4 linked regions of the Struthio camelus genome follow. The protein of the gene in region 1 purifies or fractionates together with the protein of each later gene. This does not show direct contact. Links are inferred from orthologs where the notes say so. Each region holds a gene or a part of one and is shown in the gene's direction. Other genes may lie near its edges. The genes, in order: CUL1, FBXO33, CRY1 and FBXO22.

The links.
Region 2: the proteins of CUL1 (region 1) and FBXO33 purify together in Homo sapiens (affinity purification with mass spectrometry; 4 studies listed by BioGRID and IntAct, with this or other methods). This does not show direct contact. The link is inferred for Struthio camelus from reciprocal best matches to the Homo sapiens genes CUL1 and FBXO33.
Region 3: the proteins of CUL1 (region 1) and CRY1 purify together in Homo sapiens (affinity purification with mass spectrometry; 4 studies listed by BioGRID and IntAct, counting the BioPlex papers as one, with this or other methods). This does not show direct contact. The link is inferred for Struthio camelus from reciprocal best matches to the Homo sapiens genes CUL1 and CRY1.
Region 4: the proteins of CUL1 (region 1) and FBXO22 purify together in Homo sapiens (affinity purification with mass spectrometry; 11 studies listed by BioGRID and IntAct, with this or other methods). This does not show direct contact. The link is inferred for Struthio camelus from reciprocal best matches to the Homo sapiens genes CUL1 and FBXO22.

Annotation. Positions count from the first base shown.
Region 1 is NC_090943.1:62,576,559-62,584,383, forward strand, and holds the start of CUL1 (cullin-1), read left to right. Parts: upstream 1-4,814; 5' UTR 4,815-4,938; intron 4,939-7,507; exon of another isoform or gene 7,508-7,625; intron 7,626-7,825. UniProt on the Homo sapiens protein: Core component of multiple cullin-RING-based SCF (SKP1-CUL1-F-box protein) E3 ubiquitin-protein ligase complexes, which mediate the ubiquitination of proteins involved in cell cycle progression, signal transduction and transcription.
Region 2 is NC_090946.1:57,213,413-57,220,576, reverse strand, and holds the start of FBXO33 (F-box only protein 33), read left to right. Parts: upstream 1-4,154; 5' UTR 4,155-4,173; intron 4,174-4,324; 5' UTR 4,325-4,405; coding exon 4,406-4,836; intron 4,837-7,164. UniProt on the Homo sapiens protein: Substrate recognition component of a SCF (SKP1-CUL1-F-box protein) E3 ubiquitin-protein ligase complex which mediates the ubiquitination and subsequent proteasomal degradation of target proteins. Probably recognizes and binds to phosphorylated target proteins.
Region 3 is NC_090942.1:61,486,236-61,494,158, reverse strand, and holds the start of CRY1 (cryptochrome-1), read left to right. Parts: upstream 1-4,908; 5' UTR 4,909-5,096; intron 5,097-5,223; 5' UTR 5,224-5,277; coding exon 5,278-5,435; intron 5,436-7,923.
Region 4 is NC_090953.1:21,910,101-21,917,711, forward strand, and holds the start of FBXO22 (F-box only protein 22), read left to right. Parts: upstream 1-4,610; 5' UTR 4,611-4,664; coding exon 4,665-4,768; intron 4,769-4,936; coding exon 4,937-5,069; intron 5,070-5,651; coding exon 5,652-5,739; intron 5,740-6,192; coding exon 6,193-6,288; intron 6,289-7,611. Other genes in the region: UBE2Q2 (ubiquitin-conjugating enzyme E2 Q2), read left to right, coding at 717-783, 2,624-2,655. UniProt on the Homo sapiens protein: Substrate-recognition component of the SCF (SKP1-CUL1-F-box protein)-type E3 ubiquitin ligase complex that is implicated in the control of various cellular processes such as cell cycle control, transcriptional regulation, DNA damage repair, and apoptosis.

The DNA of each region.
Region 1 (7,825 bases):
TCTGAAAACACCAGATACAAAAGAAACCCTAGACAAATCCCTCTGCGGACAAAAACAGCAGGAAAACATGTTAAGCTCTTTTCTGGAGGTAGAGTGTTCTCAGAAAAATCAGTGTTTCTGATCCAGCTTTCAAGAATATAGGAGATACATATAAATACATTCAAAAATCTCTTCTGATACAAGCTCTTGATATATAGAAAGACTGAAAAAAGTTGGCCTCTGAACAGATCCCAGATATCTAGAAATAGCACCTGCTTTTGAGACTTGAGGATGTATGATTGAATACACAGTAATCTGGCTATGAAAAAAACCCAACATAGTGTATTAAGGGGTTCTCATCTGCTGTGAGATGAGCACAGCAGAAAGAAATCCAGAAAGAAATCCAGAAAGCTCCATGCATCTTTGCCAGGTTGCCAGATGGATTTCAAATATATGTTGCTGTGACTTCTCGCAGGAAAAGTCTTTACTCAGGCATGGACCTAACAAATATCAAATGACCTCCCTAAATGTTTAACTGATCACCTCTTGCTGAACTCACTGTTTTCACTCAGACATTTTCGGTTATGCTTTGAAACGTATTTTTATGCGAGTGAGAGGTGCTGAGCATATATGTGGGCACTTCATTCTAATCCCACTATATTCATATACAACTTACTTCCTGAGACCAAAAAAACACAGGCCAGGGCTTCTCTGTCAGCCATAGCTACAGGCTGTAAAATTTTGCACTGAAATTTTGGCTTTGTCAGCTGTAAACATTATAAACATATTACCTGAAATACGAAATTTTGGCTTTCAGATCCAAAAAAAAAAAAAAAAGAAAAAAAAAGATTTGAGAGAAAGTCTAATAGAAGTCCAGCAGTGCTTGGCTCTGTTGGCTCTATTAAGTTTCTGAGGACCCTTGGGTCCATCTATTCTCAGGGATGAAGGACTGCGAGAGGAAAAAAAAAAAAGCCACTGTCCTAGTCCTGCAAACTTTTTTGCATGTTTACTGGGAGATTTACCAGGCTAGGGAGGAGAGTCACAGCCTCTTCCCACTAGCGCTGCCAAGCCTGGCAGGAAAGCTCTGCTCACAGATGAGAAACTCCCGTGCAGAGCAAAGCCTGTGCCATTGAGCACTAAGTCCACTCCCAAGGGACTTTTTCAGACTTGTAGCTTGCTAACTCTCCTCCTTTCCCATTCCACCTAGCGTGCATAGGACCCGATGACCTCTTTTAAAATCTGACAGATCCCATTGAACAAATTCAATTTCCTTTCACCTGCCTTCCCCTCACTTCACTTTCCCAGATCATGCAAAATGCAAGATTATTAGTTAAAGTTGTACCTATCCAGTGACTTTTTGTATTTAGATGTGTTATGAAGGCTATATTACCCATTAATAATTTATTTTTGCAGCTCTATTATATTATTTCCCCCAGCAAATCATATTAACATTGCTTTTCTTAGAGCTCACAGCATCTGAAGAATTTTCTTGGCAGAAAGTAAAGAGCAGGCTCCCTTCATCGGTTTCACTCACCAACTGCCTCCTCATAAATACAAAGCATTGCACTAAGTAATCCAGAGGAGAATAATAGTAACTAATATTGTCATACCTGCAAGAAAAGACAAATGAACAGATTAAAGTTCTACTTCATATGTATACTCTTTAAACCCACTGATGATTGAAAATATTTACTAGGTCATTTTTCGTAAAGTAGCTTTTAAAAACCTTCTGTAATTCATCAGATAAATGTACCGGTTAGCGGAAAGCATATTGATTAGCGTTAAGTGTAACCTGTGTACTTTAACAGGAGCAGTAGTGCAAGATTTCTGTTATCCAGAATGGTTTTTCAGGGAGACCTTCAGAAGAAATCTTGTGACCTTCAGAAATTGTGTGAGCACAATGGGCATAGCCAAAGGAGTTTGAAATACGCTACCTTTTCACTGACTGAAAATTATAAATACACTCTGGAATCTCTATAGCTTAGGCTTTATAGTCACTTCTATGGGAGGCGCAAGCTTAGCAGTGATGTCTCTGCGATTAGCTGCCCTCTCATCGTATACTCTCTTTGAACAGTAGTAATGACTTCAGTGTCATGTAGAGCTTGGCACTCAGGCTAGCTGCTGTCATATAGGAACGATTCTTGGAAATTTTCTTCACTTAGCTCTTCCAAACTATTAAGATTATTTACAAGCTGGAGGTTTTTGTTTTGTTGTGTTTTGTTTTGTTTTTTTCCTGTGCATCAGTCTCATAATCAGAGAAACATTTGTTTTATTCAGGATCTGGCTGTAGTTTATGTAAGACATTGCAGTGTGGTGTATTTGACCACATTCACTACTTTTGTCTTTTGTATATCTTACAGAGTCAGTAAATTTCGCACAGCAGATTTGTCATGTTGTTGGGCTAAACACTTTTGCAATAATGCCTCCTTGAATTTTTCCTTTTTTTTTTTTTTTTTTGGTTTTGGTAGCCTGAGTCATTGGTACACTGGCAGCACAAGAGAAATCATATTTGATAAGAATGTGGCAAGAAAACAGGTTATCATCTATCATTAGTTGGTCCTCCTGGCAGTGTTGAGGGGGTGCTAAAATTGCTGTTTTCAGACAAGCATTGTAGATGTAAGAAGGACAGCAAGCACAGGCTGTGCATGAACCGAACAGGGAAAGGGTCCCTGCTCACCCGTACAACCTCCCCACAGCAGTAATAAAGCAGCAGGCACTGCACCTCTGTGTCCTTGAATGACTCAGGCTTTTCCTCTTTGCCCAAACCAGCCAATGGCAAATGGAGCTTCCCACTTGCATTGACAGCAAATATTACAATGATAATTTTCTTGCTTGATGTGTGCTGATTCATTGCTGATGCAACAGGTGTGAAACCTGGAAGTTACCGTCAAAACAGGCCTTTCTCAGCAGCAGTGTAAGCTCATTCCTGTAAAAATTGGATTTCTCTCATGAAACTTGTCCTTGAAATTGTGGCTGCCTCAGTCTCTAGGGGAAGCTTCTCTCCTTTCATACAAAGTATATGAATTGCGCTGGACAATTGGAAATTCACTAGCCATCTTGCTATGAAAAATTCGGTGATATTTATTTTGGCATTCAATTCCCTTTTCCGTCTGTGGCCGCTTACCCTGAAACTGGAATTCTTTCAATGAACGCAGGAATGAATCATGCTAGGCATGACGTCTAATCCTTCTAGTGAAGATTTTTGCATGGCCTGCCTTTTCACAATGCCAACCAAGCTGCCACCATCATTAACAAAATTTAGAGAACTGCGCCTTGCCTCCCTGAAGTGTCTGCAGTTCACAGATCACAGTGCAGCTCTAGAAGAAAATCCTCGCCTTCTAGAAAGTTAAACACAGAGGCAAAAAGCCCTGTCTAGTGCAGGATGGCAATGATGATGGTGCTAATTCAGACCTTCCTCCTCCCCACATCTTCCTCACTTTCTGTCAGGCTTTTTTGTCGTTCCTCGCTTATTGACGGCCCTATCTTTCCCTTGTTTTAGGATTTTAAAACAATGATGGCTTTACCTCTGTATAAATACAAATTTTGTAAAGTACAATTTAAAAAATTAGCTTCCAAGGTTGAAAAAACAGTCTTTATTTTTAATGATCAGTCCCCCTCCTTTGGTTCCCCCCTCCTTCTCCTCCAGTCTGTCCTTTCCCGGCTCTTAACGCACCGCGCAGAACTGGCCGCGCTGATGAGGTGTGCAGCGCAACGTCCGCTGCTACCCTCTAACGTAACTCCCGTGTGCTAACAAGCCAGAAACGTCAGTCATGCCTAGGAGCGGTATTTGCAAAGCACGTCTACAAGGGGCCAAACTAACGTGAGCGCTGCGATGCCATCCCGCTGACGGCGTCCGTGCTCTGCTATTAAACCAGCCCCTAAAACAGCGCTGCGGTGAGCGTTAGGCCAGAACTGTTTCATCAGAAGAGCCGTGTCCACGAGTTTGCTAGCGCCCACTTCAGTGGGTTGCGCTGAGGTAAGGCGTTATTACACAAGGAAATAATTTTACAAGCACTTAGGTGACTAAGGGCCACCCACTTTGAGAAAGGCCAGTTTTTGAAAATGGCGCACAGCTGCTGGAGCCAGGATGCAAGCGAAGCACTTTGCAAAGCAAAGATAATGTCTCTCTGTTTCTCCCTATTGTTTCCCCATTTTCTTTCCTTAGAAGCTATCGCACTATCGCATTTTCTGGAATGAATTCCAACGTTCTTTATTCTAACGTAAAGGAGTTAAAAAAAAAAACAACAACAAAAACCTCATCTGAATTGCTCCAAGTTTCGTTTGGCCCAACTCAGACCCAGAACCCGACCCCCTCTCTGCAGGGGAGCTCACTCAGCACGGTTTGTGATGGTGCAGCACAGAAAACCTCGGCAAAGCAAAACACAAACATCCACGTGAGGATAACTTAAACCCCATCCTTTTCTTTTGCAGCACAGCTCCACGAACGTAATTCCGCAGCTGCCCGGAACAAAGACGACGACAGGACTGACTCCAAAACGTTACTTTTCCCCGAAGCCCGTGTTAACTGTGGTACGATGCCGCACCACCCGCTCCGCACTGTTACACGCAGAAACCAGCCGCCCCCGCGTGCCGCCTACACAAAGGCGATGCTACACGCGCTGCCGCGTTTCACCTTTTCCCTTCACACACTGGAGCTCGCCACCGGAGCTGCTTTAATTTAAGCCTGCCCAGGGGGTCTCCCGGGGCCAGCACCCCAGCCGGCTGCGCCCCCCCCGGCCGCCCTCTCCCCAAACCGCCCTCTCCCCTGAGGCAGCGGCCGCCTGCCCGAGCCCGGGGTCGGGGCGAGGGGCGGCGCGGCGCGGCGAGGGGCGGCGCCTGGGCGCGCTCGGGGCCGCGCTGGGGGGAGGCGGCGGCGGCGGCGGCGGCGGCAGAGGGAGATCCGGGCCCGGCGGAAGGGGCGGGCGGACGCGGCCTGACTCTGCGGGACGCGCGATGCTGGTGAGTGCGGGGAGGCCGCGGCGTTGTGTCGCAGCCAGCCCGGCGGCGGTGGTGGTGGTGGGGCCCGGCCCGGCCCGGCCCGGCAGCTGCCAGGAGGGCCGCGGCCCAGGCCGAGGCGGCGGAGCGGAGCCCAGCACTGAGTCACGCCGCGGCGGGAGGCAGCGGGGCGAGGGGCGCCGGGCCCGGCCCGGCCTGCCCGCCCTCCTGCCCGCCCGCCTGCCTTTCTTCACCGCGCCAGGGAGGCGGCGGGCGCCGCCATGGCGGCCCTGGCGGCGCGGGCCCGGCGGCGGCGCGGAGGCCTCTAGCTACGCACTGGAAATACCTCGCCGCCCTCGGAGCCGGGAGCCCGCCTCGGCCCCTCGCTGCCCGGCTCCGGCCCTCTGCCGCCTCCTTGCCCTCGGCCCGGCTGCAGGGAGCTTCCCCCCATGTCCCCCCCCGCTGCCGGCCCAGCGTGTCCCCGCAGCCCCGGCGAGGCGCCGCTGCGGCCGGACAAACCCCCGCGTGTCCCTGGTGCCGCCGTGGCTCCTCGGCGCCGCGTCCCGCGCGTCCCCCCCCCGGCTGGGGTCGTGCTCCGGGCTTGCCCTGGTTGCCCCCTTGCTGTTGCCACCCCCCCCCCCCCAGTAGCCTTTTCTCTGTCGCCCCCGTCCAGGTGAGCGGTCCTGCAGGTTTTGGTCGTGGCTAACAGGCAGCTGGTCAGCCTCCCAGGAACTTGGTCCGGCACTGGAAGCTGGCTGCGTCTCTCCTGGCATCTCTTCCCATCCTTCTTGTTTCCCCTTCGAGTTGTGTTCTTTCATCATCGTTATTCCCTGATTACCTTTTCCCCCTTCCAGCTTTCTTCCTCCCCGGTAGCTGTTTCCTTCACCGCGATTCTTTGCCCTTCTGATCTTATTTTCCTGTTGTTAAATCCTTCCTCGTGATCTCACCTAATACCCTTTCCTTTTGACATGTTCCTTTTCTCCATCGACTCCCATGCTGTCTCCCCCCACTTTGTATTTAAATCCTCCAGCTGTGCTTTTGAGGAGAGGAGGAACTTCAGCCTAGATTGTATTTGTCAGCCAGTACTAGGAGAACACGAAACAAACATTTTTAAACCTGTTTTACCTTATTTTATTTGTTTCTTACTGATTTCCTCAGCAGTCTTTGCCCCAATACATGTGTTTGTGTATATTCACATTCTCTTCCCCCCTTTCTCCACCGACACACACACCCCCTAGTGTTAGTTTAGAAAAACAGCTCTCTTGGAAGACCTTTTGGTAGGACCTGGGGGAGTGGTCTGTGGGGGCAAGAAACTTCCAGCGGCTGTATAACTTAAATTAGTGCCAAGCATTGTTTCTTAATGCTGTATTGTGAATTGGTACTTCAGTTGAGGTACGGTATGTTTGGGATGGTTTCTCTTTGGGGAAGTCCTAAGAGGCCTCACTGGGCCTCCCTGCTACTCACTAGATGCATATTTTTTCCTCAGGAAATGATCACAGCGAACTGCTGCAGTGTTGAGTATTGGTGGCTGGGAGTCTGTGTTGCACTGGCACTTGTGTCTCTGCTAGTGACTCTACTGGAAAGTAGTCTTTTCTTTCTGCTTTGTGATTTCTTTTGTTTCTCAGTAGTAGGTTACCCAACTTCTTATTTTACATCTTTCTGAATTGCTTTAGTTCTTAACATTGGTTGCATTTTATAATCGCATCACCACGACGTATTTGAGGTCCCATTTAAACCTTGGACGTAGTTGTGCCATGGAGGTGTCAGGACTAGTTTCAAATTTTGGAAGTAATTTATACACCTAACTTAGAATCCAGAATGAGTATCTAACATTAACAGCTTATTCACAGTAGGATCTGTTTCTTCCTCATTGAGAAAGTAACTGGAAGACAGCTTAGAGTAACTGAATTAGACTTCTAGTCTGAATTACTCCCCTAGAGGAATCTTTTTCCATCGCCTATCAAGGGGTCGTATGGAGGAACAGTTTCTTGGTTTAGGCACCTAAATAAGACACATGTGCCAATACAATGTTGACAAAGCAGTTGTGCTGATTAAACTAAATGATTCTACTTCTACTTTTATCCTTTCTACACTGGTTTACACTTGCCTTATAGCTTGAGCCTGTTACTTAGTCTGTCAGCATGAGAAAATTGAATCACTAATTTATATCATTTAAATTTAAGCTCAAATGATTCATACCCTTATTTGGAAACTGATGTGAGGATGGCTTTTGTGATTTCAGCTTATTCTCATTATTAGCTTAAAGTCTTACATCCTAGCCATATTGTTATGGATATAACATTGGATCCTCGGAGAAAGTTGTTATATCAGATATTATATCAGATATTAAGAAAAGGTTTTTTTTTTTCTTTTTGTAATTTAGATGTCAAGATCTCTGAATACTGCTTTTCATCAGTTATGTTTCTCAGGTGGTGTCTCCTTTTACATAGTTGCACAAAACTAACTTCTCACTTCAGTGAGACCCAGCTTAATGATGAGTCACATCCTGGGTGTTAGCGGTGAGGTGAATTGAGTGTACCTGGAGTCTTCTCTTCTGGCATTGAAACTGTTTTTATGTATTTATTTTTCCCAGTGGATGAAACAGGTTTAAAGAAGTACTTGTAGTTATACCACTGTCAACGTCAAAAAATTTGCGCTGTGAATGTGACGTGAGCAGATTGTCCTAGTAAAAGGTTGCCTGTATGTAACAGGTAGGTACCTAAGTTATGTGTACTGCACTTCTTAGCCGGGATTTTCTAACTTGCTGAAGGCAGAATCAGATGGAAGTGTAATTAGTGGTTAGATCAGTGCTGCTGTTTTGCTCTGGTGATGATGCTTCTGTATGTAACGTGCTGTCTAACCTGGTCTGTCTTGAGAGGGAAAACTGGGCAGGGGTCGCACCTCTGTCAGC
Region 2 (7,164 bases), on another chromosome or scaffold:
TGCTACCTATATAATACATTTCTTCTTTAGACTACAAAGAAAAATAAATTTGTCTGCTCTCATTTTTGCTTACTTGGAAAGGGCTAGTGACAGGAGAAGGAAGCAAACTACAGTTCTCCTTGCATCACAATCACAAATCCTATTGAATCAATTCCAAAACATAATGGTAATACTGTATAAGCAAAGAAAAAAAAAAACCTAAACTTGAAAGCCTTCCCCTAGCACTCCCAACAAGCAGGTTGAGCAACACGCTCAGTACAGGGACCTCACCCTCTGCCAGCCGTCTAGCGACAACAGAGTAAGCACAGCGAGAACAGAATAAATCAGACTAGGAAACAGAAACCGCGGCTGGGGGATACTCCCGTTCGCTCGCCCGCCGCCCTCTCTCAGTCTGCACCCGGCATGGCGGCGCCCCGCGGGCCGAGGCTGCGGGGGCGGCAGGTCCGGCTCCCCGGCGCCTCAACGGGGAGGGCCCCGCGGGGTGGGAGGGGGGGGCGGCGGGCACCGGCCCCGCTGCCGCGGGTCGGACCAGGACTGCGGGGGGGGGGCGGCCCGGCAGCGGCCCTCCCCCCCCGGGGCAGGTGCGCCGCCCCTCCCCCCCCCCGCGGCCGGTGCGCCGCCGCGAGGGACGGGACGGGACGGCCCCTCCCCACCCGGGAGATCGCCCCTTCCCCACTCGGGAGGCCGGCCCTTCCCCCGCTCCGCAGCCTGCTCGGCCCCGGTGCCCCGCAGGGGGGCGGCGAGTCCCGGGGAGGCGGCCCCGGCCCCCCCCCGCGGTTCTTACCGGCATCTCAGAGCCTCCCGGATGTGACGCAGTGTCGAACCGGAAATGCCAGGGCTGGGGGTTTCGCCCCACCCTTCCAGCTCTATGGTAAGCGCGGCGAGGAGCGCCCCTTCCGCCCCGCTGCCCTCACTTCCGGCCGCCGCCGCCGGGCCCTCGGGAGGGGGGAGGTGTCGCCTGGGCTGCCGGGCCGCCCCGGGAGGGCCGGTGTCGGCTCGGTAAGTGGGCGCGTGTGTGGCGCCCTGAGCGCCGCGCTGCGGGAGCGCCTCCCGCGCCGCCTCCCTGGCCGCTGGAGGACAACGGAGCGGCAGTTGGGCGCTCTGCTTTTTCTCCCAAGTAGGGTCCTCGCTAGCGAGCTGCCGCTTCCGTTCGGACCCGCACCAGGGCTGCGGTGTTTACTCCGTGATTCATCTTAAAGTACCCTTTCGAGTTGACAGATTTTTTACAGATGCAGATTAGGTAGGAAGCTTGCAGTCAAGTTCAACTGTTAAGTGCTGCACTTACCTTTTCTCGATATAAATCATCACAAAAGACATTATTTCAGCTTGTTACAGCACATGCAAAAGCACTAGTTTCCCGTTAGTATTTAGTTTGCATTTATGTTGTGCTCCAAATTATAAGTGAACTTCTTGCAGTGGGTCATGGAGAACTCCTAAGTTCACAGCAGCTCCTTAAGTGAAGCATATCAGGTTGGTAAACTCAGAAACCTAACGTGTCTTAACAATGCACCTAACAAAGAAGAAGGGGCTGAGTGAATAATTGCCAAAGCCTGTACCTCATTTTTTCCCTCATTAGCCTTATCTTCATATATCTAGGCTAGCAGGATAGAGCTGCTGAACCAGCGCTGTTTACTGCCTTTCGTCTTGACATTAGCTGCTGAACTGGTGACCTTCATGTCCAGTAAACTTTAACTTGGCTATAGGTATTCTGTAGCTTTAGAAACACACGATTCCTGGCTCCTGTGCCAGAGTTGCGCTGAATGAGCACTGGCAGGCCTGTGTTGGCGTCTGCGCTGCTGAGTAATTAGAATCCCCAGCTGTGTGGAAACCAGCCAGTGGGAGCTGCTGAGGCGGGCAGAGCCTGGTTACTTGGGACTCAGTTGTGTGCACAGCTCAGTTCTGATCCACAGTGGTTGCTCCTCAGGTCTAACTGTTCAGCTCATGGAGGGCTAAGAACTTTGCCTCAATAAAAAGACCCTTGACCAGCTATCTGGTGGAATTGAGCAGTAACTTCCTAAAAGTCTGCAAGCAAGTTGGCTAATCTTTTTTTCTATATATTTACCATGAGTTTGCAGTCACTGCATTAGTACTCACATAAGCCTGCACCTTGAAATCAATTCTCAGTCAAGCTAAAGTACGTTTCTGATGTCAGTGGTGGAGAAAACTGATTCAGCATCCCCAATTGGCAGCCTTATAGCTTTGGTTGTCTTGGCATCATAGTGGCCATGCAAAGGGATGGGGTCAGAGACCTCACAAAGGCTGGTACTATAATATCGAACACTTAGTTATAGCTGAGATGACCTGAAGCTTGAAACAGACCCATTTATTCACTTCAAGTCTACAAAACTGAAGTTATGAGCTACTGAGCTTTAATTTTTAGCATAACCTCAGTAAGCTGAAGAAGCTGAGTACGTGACCATGCAAGCTGCCTGTCTTATGAGAGGCATGACCCCAGCATGCCACATTTGCTGATCCAGTATCATCTAACAAAGGTAACCAGAAACACAGAACTAGTAGCTTCATAAACCATTTTGTCCTGATATCACGTCAGTAATCTCAGGTAATGAATTGTAAAACTTGATTACAGATTACATTAAGATAAAGATATTTGGTAATCCTGGAAGTCCTTTGACTTATTATGAGCCCAGCAACGTAGGGTTGTTGGGCACATATTAAAATATGGAACTATGTAGGAGACTAAGTTCCTTGTATTTGCTTAATTCAGCCAGATGAGTTCAGATGCTTCAGAACTTTCCATCTCCTGCATCTTTACTGCCTGAGGACCTGAGGGCTTAATCTGACAGGGAAATGTGCAGTAATAGTTGCGCAGTACTTCCCTGAGTCATTTATACAGATTCTTATCATTCACACAAGCATGTGAAACAGCACTTGTCCCTGACCAGAGAGGAATTGTCCAGCTGGGAATTTCCCATAATGTTACTTTCTGCTGCTCTGGGATGCTTATCTCTAATAAAAGAGAAACAGGAGGTTCAAATTTATTTCCCCTGTGAACAGATTCAAGAAATAAAATGATACTATTCTCCCCCCCACACACACTGCGAGACAGGGAAAGTGATGGAAGATGGAGTGAATGGAGAGATATGTTGTATGTCTGGCTGTTCATAAGTCTGTTTATAATGTGATGCCATATTCTGAATGCCAACAGGCTTTATGTCTCTTAGCACATCTTTTGTTTTGTGTGTACATTTCTGAACAAATATACAGTATTATGTAAACTCTTGTATTATAATAACATACAGACAGTACTGGATTTTATTTATTTCAATAAAGTTTTAAAGTAAATTCATAAAGCTTATATGAACAATTGAGATTAAATTCACTTTGATGTTCAGCCTTTGCAGAATGAATACTTACCAGATTTTTGAAATCTTTCTGAGTCTGTTTGCACAAGACAAGTATCTTTCCGCTCCTGCACGTCATGTCGGAATGGGCATTACAAAGCCGGCAAGCTTTAAGAAACGGGTAAGATTTCAAAATAGGACACTGGACCACTTGCTAGCGTATCAGTGCAGGCTCATATCCAGCCTTCATCACAAGTCAACTCTTCGCTATGCTTAGCATTTCCTGCACAGTCAGCGTGTTTTCTGCAGTCAGGGTTGGCATCCTGTTGAGGTAATTTTGTTGGCTGAAATCGGAACGTGAGGTCAGGCAGCAGTACCAGCGCCTGCCATGAATCGAAATCCTTTTCCTTCCCCCCCGCCCTGCCACAGCCTGCAGGAGGAAGGAAGTTTCTCCCGCCGCCGGCAGCTCTGAGGCGCTCCTCCGCCAGGCGCCGCGCCGCTCGGAGACGGCCAGGTGCCGCTCGGCCTTGGCGGCGCGCTGCGCGGCGGCCCAGCCCGGCCAATTCGCGTTCGGCTCGGAGGGCGGCGGCGGCCCCTCATCGAGGCGTCGGCGCTGCACGGCCGCAGGGCGGGCCGGGGGGAGGCGGCGCCCCGCTAGCGGGCCTGGAGGGGTTAGCGCCGCGCCGCGCCGCGCCCCCCGCCGAGGCGGTTGGTCCGGCTCCGCCTCCCATTCGAACGGGTGGTATGTTCCATTCCCCTTCCACCCCCCGCCGGGGGTGGCTCCGCCTCCCTGCGCGGCGGCCTCGCCCCGCGAGAACCGAGATCGGTGCCGGCGGGCGCGCTCACCTCACCCTCTCCTGCCGGCTCGGTGGTAGGGTCCCGCCGCGGCGCGGTGGGTAGGGCCCGCTGCGCCTCTCGTCCCCCCCCGGAGGCGGCGCGGGTGGTGCGTCCCGGCAGTAGCCGCGTCCCGGCCGGCGCCCGCCCCCTCCGCCTTGTCATTGATGTTGTTGTTTTTGTCGCAGGAGCCGGAGGCGAGGCCGGGGCCGCCGCCGCCTGTGGCTGCCGCAGCAGCAGCAGCAGCAGGGCCCGGGCCGGCGCCAGGCATGTCGGTGTGCGGGGAGGCGGTGGGCGCCGGCTCCCTGCCCAGCGAGCTGGTGGTGCACATCTTCTCCTTCCTGGCGGGGCCCGACCGGCTGCGGGCCTCGGCCGCCTGCTCGCACTGGCGGGAGTGCCTCTTCTACCCGGCCCTCTGGCCGCGCCTCCGCCTCAGCCTCCGCGTCTCCCCGGCCGAGCGCCCGCGCCTCGAGTTCCTCATGCGCAAGTGCGGCTGGTTCGTGCGCGAGCTCCGCGTCCAGTTCGCCGCCGACAACTACCCCAGCGGCGGCGGCGGCGGCGGCGGGGGGGCGGGCGAAGGTGCCGCGGCGGCGGCCGACGGGGAGGCGCCGCCGCCGCCGCTGTGCCCGCGCTGGCTGGACCTGCTGAGGACCTACCTGGAGCTGGTGCTGTGCGTGCTGAGCAGCGTCCGCAACAACAGGTAGGGCCGGGCGGGGGGCGGGGCGGCCCCTCGCCGCTGAGGGGGATTTCCCGCCGCGGGGCCGGCGGCGGCCGTTGCCCGGCCGGCGGGGAGGCGGCGGCGGCCGCGCGGGGCAGCGGCCGGCGCCGCGGCCACCCGCCGGCGGCGGGGGGAGTCCAGCGCTCGTCTCTGCCCCGACGGGGGCTTGCTGGGGCTTCAGAAAACAAGCGGAGCCTGCAGAAGTGACTCGCTGAGCTGCTGCGGTCCGAGCCGAAGCGTGGCCGTGCTGTGGGAAGTAACCTCCTCCTTACCCTTTTCCGTAGCGTTAAGGCGAATATAAGTACCGAAGTTTATTTGGGAGGCAGCTAGGCTGCACAAGCCATAAACGAAACTATGAAAGCTTCGTTGTCTCCTTTAAGGAAAGAGAAATGCAGCTCAGATGCAGCGCTTCACACTGGGAATTTGGATTTGGCGTGAAACAGGAGATCTCTTTGGCCCAGTTCTGTGTGACTGAGAAAAATGAAACTTGGGAAAAATTAGTGGGAGGGTTAAGGTTGTAGTATTGGTGATGTGTTTCTGGAGGGAGAGGAAGGAAGTACGGCTCTTATTAAAATACTTAACGTTTCCAGCCATGAGGGATCTTGCTGTTTGAAGACTGAGTTTCCATGCCAGCTCTTGTGTTACCTGGTAAATTGAGATTTGCTTCGGCTTTAAACAAGATAAAGTTTTTATTTATTGCAAAACCTTCATTTAGGATTGTCTTAAGCACATTAAACTTAAATAAGTTTTTTCCTGTGCTTTGGACTTAAGATGTGTTTCTGCCCTGCCCTTTCACAGATTTATTTTGACTAAGATACTTAATTTCCTCAGGTTGGAGTTCTTTAGAATTAAAGCACTTACATGCTCTTTATCTTATGTGCGTGTGAAGACCTTTTTTTTTTTTTTTAAATCTGTTCAGAGATCGTCGTAGTACATGGCCTTTAGGCAGCACCTGAGACAGGAAAGCAAGAATTTATTACAGTTAGGTAATGATGCGTTTGGAAAGCCATGCAGATTTCGGGATAGGAAATGGCTAATGTTATTTCCCCTCTGCATGCATACAGTTCCACCTATCTAGAAAATAGGCTGCAAATATTTTGGGGTGTCTTTAGACCAAGTTAGAACTTCTGGATGGCTGTTGGGAAAGCTCTGCAGTTGCATCATGGTATGGCCACCCGCTCATCTTTGATTCCAGAGGGATTAGAGAGTAGTTTGAGGCTTTTCTCTTGCTACAATTCAAAATAAAGAAGCAAGACCTTTAAATGTAATTCCTCGTTTGTTCTAGATGGATGTAAATGTGATGTGTGAGGTCTCACTTTCAGTTCCTTTGCTGTGCTGTGCCTAGCAGGCCAATCCTGTGGTGTAACTGTGATGATTGAGAGCTGCAAACCGTATTTCTGGAAACTAGTCATTGGTCCAGGCTCACTTTTGTGTATAATTTATTTTTTGCCGTGTGAATCCTCTGTGCGTGAATGGTGATTGTCTGTCTTCGTTAGCCTTTCCATAATGCTGCTCTGCCTTTAAGAAGCTTTTGTTTAACTGTTGCTTTTGTGGGGAATCCCACTCGTGTCATAAGTGAAAAATGGTGAAGTGGTGTTGGTAACTTATCAGATCCAAGGCAAATACAGTGACGCGAACGTGGAATTTTTAAGTGAACAATCTCCAGAAACTATTACCTGGGTTTTTCATTGGACAAACTAGACGTTTCTTACTCCCTCTGTATCACTACAGTATGAGACTGTCAAAATTAAATGCATTGCAAACAATCTTTTAAATATATTTTTTATTTTGAAAAAGATTCATTGTTCATGACCTTTTCAGAAACTTGTATGAAGATGCTTGTTTTCTAAAGGTATTTTTGCAGATTCTGTACGCACTTCACTGCTGAAGACTATTGTACAATACTTAGTAGAAATAATTGATTCTCCAGTAGCTATTCTCCAGTAGATTAATACAATTCTAGTGGTAAGATACAGGTAAAAAGTTATCAGCTTTGACAGGATTTTGCATTACTGTATTTTCTTTCTGTCTTCAAATCATTTGCATTCTGCTCTTTTGTTTTGAAATGAATAATTTATGACTGGGGAACACAGAATACCCGGTTATTACAGTAGGCATTTTTTGATGAGCAATTGAAGAGTGGGGGGGGGGGGGCAGAATTTACTTTAAACGCTTGACATTCTATTCAAAATTACTTTCTGCATAGACTCCTTTTTTCCTCTTGAATAGACAAGCTTTAGTCTATTTTTGATGCTCCCCCCCACCTTTTTTTTTCTTGCAAGGTAACTACCAGTAGCTGATTATTCTGCA
Region 3 (7,923 bases), on another chromosome or scaffold:
GTCCTCCCCACCCCCCGCCGCCGCCGCCGCCCTGACCTGGCTCGCCGCCGCCGTGCGCTGCGCGGCCGGGCCCAACGGCCGGTGCCGCCCGGGGGGGAGAGGGGGGAAGGCGGGGCGTGCGGCGCGGCGCGGCCGCCATGGCGGGGCGGTGCCGGGGGGGACGGAGCGGGGCAGGCGGCGGCGGGCGCTGCTCGAGGGACGGGTTTGGGGCTGTGCGCCCCGCGAGGACCAAGTGCCGCCGTCCCGTCCGGTAGCCGCGGTGCCTCCTTAGCCCTGCAGTGCCCCCTCGCCTTCCCCTCCCCCCCTCCTTCCCCGCCAGGATGAGACCGTGAGGGGCGGCCGTTGGCCACGGTGAGGGCTGGGGTGCCGCCGCGCCTGGTGCCGGCCCGAGGGCCCTGTCGCCTGCCCGGCCGCCAGGTTTCACAGCCCTGGCGGAAACAGGTTTTGCCCCCGAGACGGCTGGGGAGTTCGGCTGAAGTCAGCCTGCGTGTTGAAAAGCTGCTGGGTGAAGGAGTAGAGCCCCAAGGGACGGCGCGATGGCGGCACTCGTTCCCCCTCCTCACGAGACGGGCGGCGGGAGCCATGAGAGCTGCCGCGGGAGCGCCCGGTGGGTGAAGGCCAAACTCAAGAGAGCATCTCTAAAGCCCTACGTCCTGTCTGAATCTGGCGTATGTCGTTTCAGCCTTGTCTGCTTTCCAGTGAAACGTCAAAGTAACGGCCTCGCCAGCACCGTAGGCTGAGCAAATGGAGGTGCTCTCGTGCCCGGGAAGCTGCGCGTGGCCCATGAGGTCCATGAGGCAGCAGCACGGGAGCGCTTGTGAGCACACAGGAGCAAGTCCATGTGTCGGCGTGGGCTGCAGGGCTCCCTTTCACACCTGGCACCCGGAGCATAAATGTGCTGGGGTTTCTAAAAGGCCAACAGTCACCGTCAGTCCCTCCCTGGTGTGGCAGGAGCTGTAATCAGGATGGAAACAGGCTGGGGAAGTTGGGTTGGTGCCACGCGGTTCTCAGGGTGCCTGGCTCCCGTCAGTTCTGCTTCGTCATGTTTTCATTTACTGGTGCAAGGAGAAAGGGGAAAAAAATGCTTGACTCAACAGATCTCACAGGACTGAAGTACGGTTATTAAGTGGCTGTACTTTTAATTCTGAGTTTGCAGTAAACAAGGACTTTGCCATCCTCCAGATGCGACTTCAGTATGCTGTAGTTCATGCACTGATTCACGGTGTTTTTAATCGGAGTGAGGTAAATTGGATTGCAGTCTTTTTATCATGGAAAAACACCTGAGTTTCTTCCACCTGGTAAAATATTGACTTTGTTATGATTAGAAATGTTTGAAAGTGACCTACTAAGAGGTATTTCGATTTAAACAGCTCTCAAGCGAGTACTATTTAGTGTACTAAATAAAGCAAAATCCCTCATTTTTAAGTAGTAGTATGGTATCAAAGAAACAAACATTTGAAAATTAAGTTACTTGAGTGCCTGTGTTCCGATGGGAAGCAGATGATCCTGTTGATTCTGTAAAGGAGATGGCCTGTTTCTCGCGTTTATCCAAGTGGAACAGTGCTAGTGAGACTTACACCCTGTACAGTGCAATAGCTACCAAATAACACTATTCAGGAGATCAAAAGCAGTAGTGCTCCTGATACCAAATATGTTCTCTGCAAAGACTATTCTACTGTTTTGGAAAGCAGCACACTGAAAAAATCTTTTCAGGATCAAATTTTGCTGAGAGGCAACAACGATGTAATCATAGGAAGCTTCTCTTATATCAGTATATTTTCTTCCATATGATCACTGTACTTATCCCTAATAAAAAAATAAAAGTCATGTATATAGTCAATGGATTAACAGTTTTGCCAATGTTGTTGCAGAAGCTAAATGAGCTGTGACGGTGAGAATCTGCTTCCCGTATCTTACTCTGTTCAGCTGGTCACTTCTTTAGTTCACTTCTAAACTTAGAGTAAAAAATAGGCAAAGATGCAAATAATTTCTAGACTAGACAATTTTTCTAGGCAGTTAGCATTTTTAAAACCATCTAACTCAGGTCTGCATAATGCTGTACTTCAAAGAGTGAAAATTAGGACTGTTCGCTTTGAAAACGCTTCTTTTGTCAGCTACATTTTCAATAGTCTGTATTAGAGCAAAGTGTGAAAGAATTGCTATAGTATGCTCTACGGACCTTGCTCACGCTTGGTTTCCTACATGACTGCTGTTTCAATAACACTTAATTGTGAGTATGAGTGACATAACTGCATGCAATGGAGTTAAGACACATGGATATAAAAAACTCATCTGATTTTTTAATACACAATATATTCTGTTTACTCCTTGATGTTTTATTTTGTCCTTTCATGCCTTCATGTTGTCTTTTTTTTCCCCTTCTGATTCCTTCTCCTCTCCACTCTCTGGATTTCTGTTATCACAGCGTGAGCCAAGTTAGCTGAATTAGCAATACTGTTCTTTCAAAAGTTATCCACAAGAGAACACAGTAGTGGGCTTAACTTGTACAAGTTCCTTGATTAACTATCATTCTATTTTCTTTCTTCACCAACTTGAAGAGAGTGCCTCTTCCCTTGAGATCTGACATTTTAATTAATATATTCTTCATCTTCCTTCCACTTTTTAAATCAAAAACAATCAGTCGAGAATGGAAGGTATGGATAGAGCTGAACGGTGTTTTGACATGCTGCTATGCTAATTACAGTTGTTATTTAATCTGTAGTGATAAACAGCTTACAGAGTGATGGTTTTCATGGTTGTAATTTGGTTATGAAACCATAAATTCCTGCAAGGGAGGGTTGCTTCCACCTCAGTTTAATAGTTTTACACGTTAACATTTTGAAGAAGGCAGATCAGTTGACACTGAACTTTCTTTAGGGCCATGGTTTGTTGCTCAGTGTCACAGCCTTGTAAGGAGCTAGCAGGGAACATAAGATACAAGGCTTCTGACTGATGATCTTAGAGAGGCTTGAAAAAGCAGCTTAGAAGTTTTAAATAAAAACTATATCGTAAGGTGACTTTCCTTGAAAATAAGCTTTCTTCTTCAGTGTGCTCAAATATTATACAATTAAAAGGAATTTAATGGGAAGTGGGTATTAACTACTGAGATGTTTTTTTCATTCTTTTCTACTTTATTTATTTGAAAATCAGTCACCAAAGATTTGACATTTCTTAACAACTGAACAAGCAAGGAACCCATAGGTTCCTCTTGGACCAGAATGATGAGCCGTGCAATCTAATGTTACATATATGACAAAATAATAGTGGAAAACCTCATAATAATTTATACTACTGTTAAGTTACTGTTAAATGCTTAAGGAAAGGTGGTCCACCATACTTTTTAGAGAGAAGGTTTCTACAATATCAAATAGCAAAGGGCTCTTATCATGGTTAGGGCCTTTTCTGTTAGCAGCTTTGCTAACAGTATGGACATTTTATGAAGTCATTCAAGGTGAGGAAAGAAGAGCATCAAGGGAAGCACGATGCGTTATGTGTTACTTTTTATTGACTGTGGGTTTGACTTTTTCATACCTAAGCAGAAAAAATATTTCAGTAGAAACTCCAATTCTGAGATTTAAAATACTTTCCTACTCTGGAATTCCGGAAGTCAAGGGAGGTAAGTACTGCAAGTGCATGTCCATTTTACTGTAGAGTCATTATTTGTAGTGAGATCTGTCTTGCTGTTGCTGTTTATGGAAAGCACTAGAAGCCGTAGGCTAAGTTATAATTCATACACGAAGGTTTGCTTTCGGACGTGCATACAGAGCTGCTCTGTAGGGCCTTGAAATTGCTATACTGAGTCCCATCAGTAGGACACCTCATGCCAGGCGGCTGAGACCTGAGTAAAAGTAAGAAAAGCTGCACCACGCAGGCATCTTTTAGCTCTGTACTTAAAAGGGAACGACATGTTAGATATACACCATTTGCTAATAATGACGCTGCTGACAGTGCTAGAGACCATTTTAACTCCTTTTACTTCTCACTACTCTCCTGAAGACGTATTTCCTTTCCACAGCTCTGGCACAGGCGAGCTGCACAGCCGCGTTTGCTCTGCCTTTGTTCCGTGTCCCCCCCCTCCCCCGCCCCCCGTTTTTGCACACCACCTCCGTACCGCTGCGGCCAAGGGGTAAAATTACTTCGTCCGCTTCGTAAGCGACGAAACGTATCTTAAAATGAGGGGGAACTCCCTCCTCCGCCTCCCCCCTCCTCCTCCTCCTCCTCAGGCAGGGACGCCTGGCCGAAGCACCGGGGGGGGGGAGGGGGGAAGGGCGACGTGCGAGGGCGGCCGGGCCGGGCCGAGGTGCGGCCCCGGAGCTCCTCGGCGGCGCTGGGCTCCCTACGTGGATACTTACATAACCGTCCCGGCCCGTCCCGGCACACAGGAGACGGCAGCAGCAACTCCGCCTCCCCCCGGTCACCCCCGCCGCGGCCGTTACGAGTTTGGGGCGGGACCGCGCATGCGCTCTGCGCGCCGAGCGTTATACATAACTGGTCACGGGCACCGCCCCCCCTCCGCGCGTGCGCACACATGTCCCCCCCAACCCCTGGCGCCGCCAGGATAGCGGCGCCTCCAAGGGCCTCCTCCGAGCCCCGTGCTCATCCGGGGCCCGGCGCCCCGCGCGGGGTGGGGGGAGGGGGCGCGGCCTCTACCCGCGGCGCCCCTCCCCGCCGCGGCCCGGTCCCTCGCACCGCCCCAGGCGGGTGGGATTCCCGCCGGGGCCGCTGGCTCCCCCGGTTGCCCGCCGCCGCCGCTGGCGGGAGCGGGGCCGAGCGCGCCGCGGCGGAGCCTCTGCCCGCCGCCTCTTCCCTCCGCGGCTAGTAAACACACTTCAGAAACGTGAGGGCTGGCGGTCACGTGGGGGCGGGGCAGGCCAATCAGGGGCGGGGGGCGGGGCGCGGCGGCTGGTGGAGCCCCGCGCAGAGTCACAGGGCGAGCGGCGAGGCAGCAGCAGCGCCAACGGCCGCTGCTTCCCGGGAGCGGAGCCACTGCCGGACCTCTCCGCCCCGCTGCTTCTCTTCCCCTCCCCGCGGCGCGGGGAGATGCGTCTCCGCCGGGCGGTCGGCGCCGTCTCCGCCGGGTCCTAGAGCCGCCTGAGGTGAGGCCGCGTCCCGGCTCCGCCAGCGCTCCGCTCCCCGCGGCGGCGGCCCCGGGGACCCCGCGCCGCTCCCGCTCCTCTCCCGGCGGGGCGGCGGCCGCTGCTCGCCCCGGCGCTGAGCCATGAGCGGCCCCGCGGGCGACGGCTCCCGCTGAGCGCCCGCCGGGCCCGCGGCGGCGGCATGGGGGTGAACGCCGTGCACTGGTTCCGCAAGGGGCTGCGGCTCCACGACAACCCGGCGCTGCGCGAGTGCATCCAGGGCGCCGACACGGTCCGCTGCGTCTACATCCTCGACCCCTGGTTCGCCGGCTCCTCCAACGTGGGCATCAACAGGTGGCGGTGAGTGCGGGGGACGGGGGGGGGGCGGCGGGCCCAGGCCCCCGGTTATGTATGCGGTCACGCTGCCCGCTGCCATCCCCGCCCTCCCGCGCCGCCCGGCTGCCTCCCAATTGGGCCGCTGCCCCGCCGCGGCTCCGCGCGCGTCCCCGCGGGCGGCGGCCGTTACATATCCAGCCCGCGTGCCAGCCCGGCCGGCGGCTGCCGCGGGGGGAGGGGAGGGGGGGGACTCGCCACCAGCGCGTCAGCCCCGCGCGGGCGGGCGGCGGGGGGGGGGGAAGGGGGAAGGGAGGGGGCGGCGGCGGCGGCGGCGACTCCGCGCTTCCCGCCGCAGCCGCGCGGCGGCCTCCAGCCGGCCCGGCAGCCGCCTCCCGAGCAGCCCGGGCTGGCAGCCAGAGCCCCCACTTGCAGTGCTGCGCTCCTGCACGTACCCCTGTGGGAGAGAGAGAGGGGAAGCTTTTGGATGAGTTCAGAAGTAAACTCTCAGGTTATCTTCCCCGTAGGGATAGGGTGTTCGGTGCTCCTTTCGGGAGCATGCAGTTCTTGCACCTTTGGGCCAGGTGTGCTCCTCCTTTAAATATAAAGCTGAACTTTTTGCTGTGGAGCGGTGGCTGGCATCCAGTATGGAAACGTATGCCATCTTAAGACAGAAGTTAATGGGACTTCTGTGCATGCATATCTTGTGAGATTGCATTAAACAGCAGTAATAACTTTATTTTCTTTTTAAAAAATAACTGATAATGTGGTAGAGTTCTTCTGTCATCCATCTAAGAATGGCAGGAATTTCAGATACTCGTGAACTTAGTCTGCACAGACCACAATGCTGAGAGGAGTTGACTAATTATGGAATGAGCACAGTATAACTGGACTGCACCCAATGTCATGATGGGATGGCTGTCAAAGTAGAGCTACTTGTTTTTTTAGTTCAGTTTTCTTAAGGATTATTTCTTTCAGCTGTAATACCTTCTCTCCCAGATCATTAAATACTTTACCAGGAAGTTGGTTTCTCTCTCTCTCTCTCTCTCGACATCTTGAAGTTTTCATTATGGCCATATCTCTGGTTTAAGGAAGATACAAATATTAAGAATAGGCTTTCTGTGATCTTTAACTTGATGGTTATTCCATTTTCATTGACAAGAACGAGGTGCATACCACTTAATAATTGTAAGGTAATTCCCTTATCTGAGGATCATAATGTATACTTCTTTTACAGAGACTTTTAAAGATTCTTGCTTGTTTTGAAGGAGATAATTTTTCTTGTGTAACAAATCTGAACGTTATAAACAAAGTTCAGAGGTTGTATGTAGTCTTTACAGATAAAGTGTGAAAAGCTACTTAAGTTTTAAAAGAATGCAGCCAAATTGCGTGTCCAGAATACTTCACAGGTTTCTAATGTATTTCATAACTGAAAAAACAGAGAGAGCTGAACCATTCTTGGTCATATTTTGTGAGCTAGTGAGTGATAGACAAATGTGAACTTTATGATCCTAGCAAAAGGGAATCCATCTCTCTAATGCTACTGCCTTAGTTTTCCAATGGCTGTTTAGTATGATCTTCACTTAATACAGTCCTAGAATACATTTATGCATAATAAATCAGCAGATGCTCAACAAATGCATTTACTTTAACGGTTCTCAGTGGTACAAAAGACAGTCGATCCTTGCACTGAATTTTACATTTGAAGTAAAACATCTCTTAGTTGTTGGTCAGAGAGGGTGGGTTTCTTTTCAAGGAGAGGTATTTACTTATCTTTCAGTCCATTTTTGAGGAGGGGATTCTTCTCCCTACAAAAATGAAGAAATCATAGAAGGAGGGTCAGTTGTAACACCCCTACCCTCAAAGCACTTCAAACAATATCCTGGATTTTGAATACCCCAAGGCACATGCTGTGCATGGATTTGAATAGATCTCACTCCTTCCATAGTCCGGTTTTGTGAGATTTCCAGTTTTCTCAAGTTTTTTTTTAAAAAAAAAAGTGAGTTTTATAAAATAACTAGCTGCTGGAACTTCATACTTACTAGAGTGATCTCAGTAAATTCTTATTTCAATGAACAGTTCATAGTTTGGAATTAAACCAGTTTAGGTGCCAGTAGTTACAATGTGAGTGTTTTACAGCTGGCTAAGAATAGCTCATTTGTAGTATGCATACTGAAGACCTGTGAAGTGATACTTTTTTATTTGATTTGCCAGTCTCATTCAGTGCTTGGTATTGATAATCAAGCATTTTAGCTCCTTGGTCACTGGATGACTTCCTTGCTTATATGCATGTGGAATAGAGTGTTGAATTGGTCAAAAAACATTTTATTTGAGATTAGGAGCAGAAGCCCCTCAGCATCTGGAACTTGAATCTAAATTTAGTCTTCTGCTGTGGGTTTACAGTGATCCTCCCATATGTATGGGTTGATTTACCTTAAGAGAGTTTATGTTCTGATGAGTTTAGGAACCTAACACCTCGGGTGCTCTCTCTCCTCTTGCAAAGCTTTTCTGTCAG
Region 4 (7,611 bases), on another chromosome or scaffold:
CTAATATTAAGAAGTTCTCCTTTTGCTGGACTAAACACCTGCAAAGTGTTATGAAAGGGTGAAATATAACACCATGCAAATACTTCTGAGCCAGCCATTCAGCATTAGTCTAAAACGTCATTGATTTCCAAATGTGCGTGCTGGTAATGTACTTTAAAGGACAAGTCATATTGGAGTATTAGATGCTATTTTCAGAAGAGGCTTAAACATTTCTTTAAGACAAAAGAAATCGTGCCTCAGATGCCACTTTTTAGGTAGTGATTCAAGGATGGGGAAGGTGGTAGATGAGTGTCCTGTGAAGTGTGATTCTGACTCTATTATTGAAGTTATCGCTGTGTATTAGATTTAAAGGGCTTTTATCACGATTCCATCTAGCCTGGTAGCTGGTCGGCTGACCAAGGCAGATCTATGGTCAGAGATGCCTGAAGCCCCGATTTCAGCTGATAGCACACACTTCTGACCTATCTCAGGTTGTAAACCCTTTGAAATAAGGGCCTTTCTGACAGCAGGGGGTGTGTAACTTATTAGCATTATGAAGGAGGAGAGATGAGAAGATAAAGCTATTTGCCTTGTACTTGAAAGCCAGGCATGTTGTAATACAGTGCATGTTTTTTATGAAGCCCACTGTAGAGTTTCATCTTAACACTGTTTTAAGTTTCACACGTTTTGATGCTGCTCCTTTATGTTGGTGTGTGTTTTTTTTTCCCCCCTTTCAGAATCAATATAATCTAGCAAGAGCACAGCAGTCCTATAAGTCACTAGTACAAATACACGAGAAAAATGGTATGTACGTTCTTGCAACTTTTGTTCTTGGTCAGTACAGCAGCCTGGGATTTGGTGTTTGACAGCAGTAAAACTTAAAAGTGCTGGAGTGTCTTATGTTGGCTTGGAGAACCACAAATAGTGTTTCTTTTCATGTCATACTAGGAAGACAAAATTGCTTAAAGTAACTTGTTACATTCTTCCAAGTTGGAAAAGTTGCAGGCGTGTTGTTAGTCAATGTTCCCTGTCTTCCTACTATCTTTTGAAAGGTAGCTTAATTTCATTTTTGCCCAATTGTTCTAGTAACTTTACTGTGTCTCAAAGTGTCTTATTTGCTAGTGAAGTACCTACTGGAAGCTTGTCTGCCCCTTTCCTTGAAAGGTGTTATCCGAATAATGCAAGACCACAGTAGCAGTAATCCAGGAAGAGTTAAAGCGTAAAGAAAGGCCAGAGACTAAAAAATATGAAAAGTCCAAGTGAAGTACGCTATCTGGAAAACTGCAATGGAAATGGGAGCCATATGGGGTGTTTTTCCCTCCTATATAAAGCCAGTTAATGGTCTCTCAACTGGCATAAGACAAGTATTTCTTAAAGTGCTTCGGGTATAATTGCCTTTTATGGCAGGATGGGAAGGCAACAGATGATCTGAGGCTCTGGAAAGTTTAAGTGGCTTAGTATTGTCAGATAAAAGTGGTCAGCGGAGCTGGTGTCCTGGTCTTATGAGCAGGGAATTAGTCCCAGTTCCTGCTTCAGTGATGCTCTTTGATCCAGGTTGGACGCAGCATCCTCTGGGAACTCAGGTGGTTGTGAACGAGCTTATTTCAGTGTGACCGTAGTGAATGCCTCAGTTTCCCCACTTCTAAAATGAGCATAGCGACTATACTATTTGCTGTGAATATACTACTGGGAAATGAGTGCAATATTGGGAAGAAGAGCAAAGATAATGACTTGAAGATGTTTTCCAATTTTATGATACATTGATCTTGCCATTAACTGAGTCTTTTGCCTTTTTAGTTTGCTACCAAAGCCAGCATGGCTCTCTGTTTACCTCTAGCTATATGCTAGCCTTGACTACAGTGATTACTGCCGCATCAGAAGCGCTACACAAAGCATTCACAGCATTTATTGCTGCTGCGAAAGGTGTCTTTGTCAACTTACAGCTGCTGCTTATTCTTTGGGATAACATAAATAGGTCCTGTACAAAATTGAGAGGAATTGAGAGGACTGGGAGACCTAAGACTGGGGATCTGGAGTTGGCTAGATAAAGCTGCGTGTACTTGCTCAGATAGGGTTTGGCACGGTTAGCGGTTGAATCGTATCTGGAGGCAAGCTATTCCGGTGACGCTTGCGAGCCCATTCCTACACCAAGATTTGCAAAAGTAGGGTAAACCTTTCAAATGCTTGCGTGTGCCCAGCTCTTCAACGGTGAAGACAGGATTTATCTATACTTATCCCAGTGCAGTCATGTTTGTACGTCTGTATGCATTAAGTGACTGGAATAACCTGGGGTTTTTACCTGTATCCCACTTGTTTTTATTATGGCAGTCTTCCTCCTTTAACAGCTTCCTCTGTTGGTGTCCCTCTTGTCCAGCTCAGCAAGGTAGCTGCTGCCATGTAAAACAAAAAACCACCTGAGTAGTTTATTTCCATACACAGATACTGGGTCTGAGCCTGGCATATGCCAAGTGCTTTATCTCCCTCCCACTGGAGACCACTAGCATTTAGGGCATTGATTCCCACTGAAGTGGTTTACTTGTAAGAGGGAAGGAGCCAATTTAGGTCTCCGTTTCCCACAAATTCAACAAAAGATCATCTTAACGTAGCAATGTCAGTGCCTAACGCGTTTCTCTCTTCTCCATAGGCTGGTACACTCCTCCGAAGGAAGATGGTTAATACTGAGGACTGTTGCATACCTGGACCAACATCAACAAAACGAGCTCTTTTTTATGTTTTCCAACACACACAGACTCAAGCTATGAGTGCCCCTATAACAGCCGTACTGAAGACTTTAGCTATTAGATAAGTTAGTGGATAATCTGTCAACTGACACTTAAAGTATAAGTTACAGCCTTACCATTCCGCTCTTCTTAGATATCTTGGACTGAGCAGTTTTGGCCTTTACTGTATTTGTTCTTATGGATTAAGCATATTTGGGCCAACCCTTCTCTTCCCTCTTTTTTATTTAAAGGCGTAAACTCCCTGAAGCAGGCTATCAAGTTACTAAAGGTCATTAAATAGGAGTTGTTCACACACTTTTGTGTATTTCTTACCTTTTGCAGGATGCAGACCGCAGAGACTTGCATTATATTGTTTCATTTAAAGCCAAGAAGTTTAATACATTGTTTAATACTGTTTTAGGAAATGTCAGGTCTTGCAAATCACGGTAGTTTTTCTGGTCTCAAATGACAGCATTTGTAGTATTTCCAAATTAATGATATAGGAAAAACACATGTATGTTAAGTCATTAAACATTTTTCATGGCTGTATGAGAATATGAACTGTTTCTTGGAAAAGATGCTCCTTGTTTAGATTATGTTGTTTTTGGGTTTTGTTCCATTTTGTGTTTTAAGCAGAGCAAGGCTGTGCCAATAAAACCTTGTAACTAGTCACTTCCACTGGGGCGTCAGAACTTGCTGGGCTGTTCCTGCTACTTGGTGGCTCGACCTACTTAACGAGAGCCGCAGTATGAAGCTTGAAGTTACTTAAAATACTAAAAGCCTTTTTAGGCGTTCCATTTTATTAACGGGTTGTTGCAATCATTTGTAAACTAATGAACCTATAAAGTGATTGGCACAAATCGAGACGAAAGTCCTTGAATGAAAAGTTTTATATAAAAGCTACACTAAAGTACAAAAATGCCTCATCTGATTCAGAGATTTAAGAAACGTTGCCATAGTTGTGAGAGTGGTTTTGTTATTGAGAGACTAATGGGATCTGTTCATTCTTTATTAGGAGATGAATCTGGGTCTGTGTAATTACACTATTTCATTGCCTTACCTAAATCAATTCTGTTTTGGTTGTAGTACTAGTTATTAGGCCTCGCACCCCTCCGGGGATGAATTAAGGGTGCGTACCATGGATTAAGCACTTTTTGGAAGTCCAGAAGCATGTTTTTGTTATGTATTTGGTTTTTTTTTTTAGTTGACTATCAAATTTGTGCTCATTTATCAGGCACCCACGGGTCCTTGCTCATTTGCTTCTAGAACCAGTTTTTAGCTTGAAAGGAAAATCTGAGAGATTTGGCACTGCTTCTGCTACCTGTTGTTTGAGATATCGCTCTCGGAAGGAGGGTGGATGACTTCCCGGCCTTTCTGCTTACTTGGTTGTACATATTATATTTGTATGAAATCCCGGTAGCCAGGCGCCGAGATAGCGGCCGACTCGGTGAGCGGTGCAGTCCCTCGGAGCCTGGGGCTGGGCAGCCCTCTGAACGCGTCCGCGGGCCCCGGGGGCGCGGGCCGGCAGCTGCGCTCGCCATGCTCCCCTCCTCGTTGGGGGGGTCTTTTCCCCTCCCTTTTTTTCTTTCTTCTCCCCCCCCCCATTGCAGAATTACTTGGCAATGTACAGTAATTTGTAAACTTGCATCAAGTTTATGAATAAAAACCGTTTTAAGAATGGCGTCGCTTCTGTGGTTATTGTCGGGGGGGGGGAGGGGGGTGGAAATGGAGGGAAACCAGCGCGCCCCTCACCGCGCCTCGGGGCGCTCCAGGCCCCGCCCCGTCCCCGCTGACGTCACCCTCGCACGCGCCTGCCCCCCCCCCCCCGCCGGAAGGGGAAGCTGCGTCAGGTGGCGCGCGCCCGCCGGGAGCCGCTGTCGCCGCGCGCGTGACGCGGCCCCTGGCGGGGGGGGGAGGGAGGAAGGGGGGGCGGAGGCCGCTGCCGTGTCGCCGCCGGCCGCGGCCATGGAGACGGACGCGCGGGGCGCGGCGGTGCTGGGCGGCCTGGCCGAGGTGGTGGAGCGCGTCCTCGGCTTCCTGCCCACCAAGGCGCTGCTGCGCGCCGCCTGGTAGGGGCGCCGGGGACGGGGACGAGGCTGGGGCGGGCGGGCGGCGCGCGGCGGCCGTTGGCGGCTGAGGCGGCGCGCGGCGGCCGTTGGCGGCGGTTGGGGCGGCCGTTGGCGGGGGGTGGGGGGTGCGGCGCGGCGCGGCGCTGACGGTGCGGGCCGTGTTTGCAGCGTGTGCCGGCTGTGGAGGGAGTGCGCCCGGCGGACGCTGCGGGCGCGGCAGCGCGTCGCCTGGGTGTCGGCGCTGGAGCCGGGCCCCGCCGAGAGCCACGCGCTGGTGCGCGCCCTGGCCCGCGAGCTGGAGGTGGGTGCGCGGCGGCGGATCCCCCCCTTCCCCCCGCCCCTGGGCGGCCGGATTTTGCCGCGGTGGGAACTGCCCCGTAGCGGGGAGTGCGGCGGGTTGGTTGTGCGTCACGCAAAAAGCTGCCTCGCTTTAAGCGTCCTACTTGGGAGTCTGACTTGCCGTTTTGCTGTCATTCAGAAACGAGGAGCAGCGGGCGTGCTGAAAGCACTCGCTACGAAAGCAGCTGGGTGCATATCAGCACCTTTGTCGTTCCTGATGCCTTCACTTGGTGTCTATAATTGGGGTATTGACCCCTTTCTCCTGCTAGTTCACTGCTGACAGAGGTGTCATCAGCTGACAGCTTGTTTGGCAAGGGATTCTCAGAGGCTTAATATCTAGCAATTGCGTAGAGGGGTTACCTAAACAAAAATGGAGAAATAGCCAAAATGAATTTAGTCAGTTTTTTCTCTCCTGTCTTTTCTCTCCTGTCTTTTTCGAAATCTCCTTTTCCTGTTTTTTTCAACTTAGCTTATGTCTTTGCACAAGGGAATGTTGTGAGAAGCAGCTAAATAGCATAATTTTGCCCCTTGCATCTTTTTACAGAAAGTGCATGTGCTGCCACAAACTGTGCTCTATATAGCAGATGCGGAAACATTCAGCGGACATGAGGAGTGTCACGAACAAAAGAAAGGTAACTGTTAAACTGACTTATTCCTGCTTCAAGAAGTACTTGTAATAGAAGTACAATATGTGAAGGGAAAGTCAGCTTAAATTGAATTCTCTGTGTTTAAATTGCAAAGGAAAGTAAGTCTTTTGCAAAAAAAAATAAATGCAATCCCATAGATCAGCATTTCTGTTATGAAGCACAGGCCACACAAATGTGCACTGTTTTACATAGATTTGCATTACACAGAGGAAGGTACAGTGATTTACTTTCTCATCCTGTTCAGGATGTTGATTTTGCTCTGTATACCCATAGCGGTGCATTCCTACAGATAGTACAGGTTTGCCATGTTAACTGGGCAGCTGTTGATTGGCAGCATTGTTTAAATAGGATGCAATTAACTGCAAGGCTTGTCCATTAGTGCTCAGAAAAACTCACCTTTACTTCTCTGTGCCTTCTTTTTTTCTTCTTTTTTAACAGCAAGAAAAAGAAACAGTAAAGAAACCGCAATTGAGCTAGAAAAATTGTTGCCAAAGCGATGCCAAGTTCTTGGACTGGTCACCCCAGGGATTGTAGGTAGGACGAAAATGTGTGATGTGATGAGAGATCAGCCTAAAGGTGTTTAGTATATCACAGGTCTTTTCAGACTCTTCTTTATCACAACTCCATGTGTTTTTGAAAGCATAGTCCTGCAGACTGAATAGAGTATTCTCACAGATTATTGCCATGTACTGCTCTCACCTTGTTCAGTCCTAGCTTCAATTTTAAGGAGCTCACACTGTTGCTGCTAAAGCATGCGTATGCCTTAAATTTTTACTTCATGTGGTACAGTTGTCATTGAAAAGGTCGATTTAATTTGCGGGGAGGGGGTAGATATAGCAGGGATTTCAGAGATACTGTAAAGCCATTGGGAATTGAATGTGAAAGCCAATGAACGGGTTTATTCAGAAGACGCTTGGTGAGCCTGACAGTTATAGCAGACTTTGCCAAAGTCAAATGCAACTTCATCATTCCCAGGCAAACAAAATGATGGCATTTCTGTTTGCATTGTGATTGTGCTGGCCAGAGACACAGTTACTATGCCTGCTTCTAAATTTTTATTAGTTGGTACCTTAAGGTAATTACATTATATTTCTTGGATGTGTATATATTTTTTAAAGTTACAATGTGAAGAGTCGTACAAGAAGGTCACAGAAGGTGACGTTCTCAGTGTGTATCCACTTAGTTTGGAATAGCAAGAAGCATAAATAGTGACTATGGAAAATTCACAGCTTCCCTTGGAGGTGTTTTTCCAGTACTTCGTTTGTGTATCACTAGAAACTTTTTTCCTAATTTCTTACCTTAATTTCTCTTCCTACAGTGTAAGAAATTTTCCTGTTCACTGTGAGCATGGAAGACAGTTTACACCCTGCATCTGGGCACCAACTTGTTATGTATCAAAACTTGTTGTAGTTTTCTGCTTAGTATATTTGCTTTTAGGCTATCTGTCTCTATGACTGGAGTCTTTAAGAGTCTTGACATACTTGTATCAGGATGAAACACGAGTAACTTGGGCCTCTGATGTGAAGGCGCGTGGGGGTGTAGACAATTTCTTGAGGCCACTTCCAGCTGTAGCTGCTGTTCCAGCTGATTCTACTCCCACTAGAGGCTGTTCGTGTACTTCTATATCCAAATGGTTGACGATTTCTGATTTTTTTAGGGTTAGCTTATTTGCAAGTAGATTATCTCTGTGTTCTTCTATCAACACTATCCTTTAGCTTTCTTAGTTCTTTTCTTCCTTGTTTTTCCTTCTGATGTACTTACAAAGTGTAACCATCACAGCCTCTAGTCTGCTCAGACAAACCACCTGCTTCTAGTTTCTTCAAAAGAAAGGTTTTACGTTCTTTTAGTCCTGGCGGC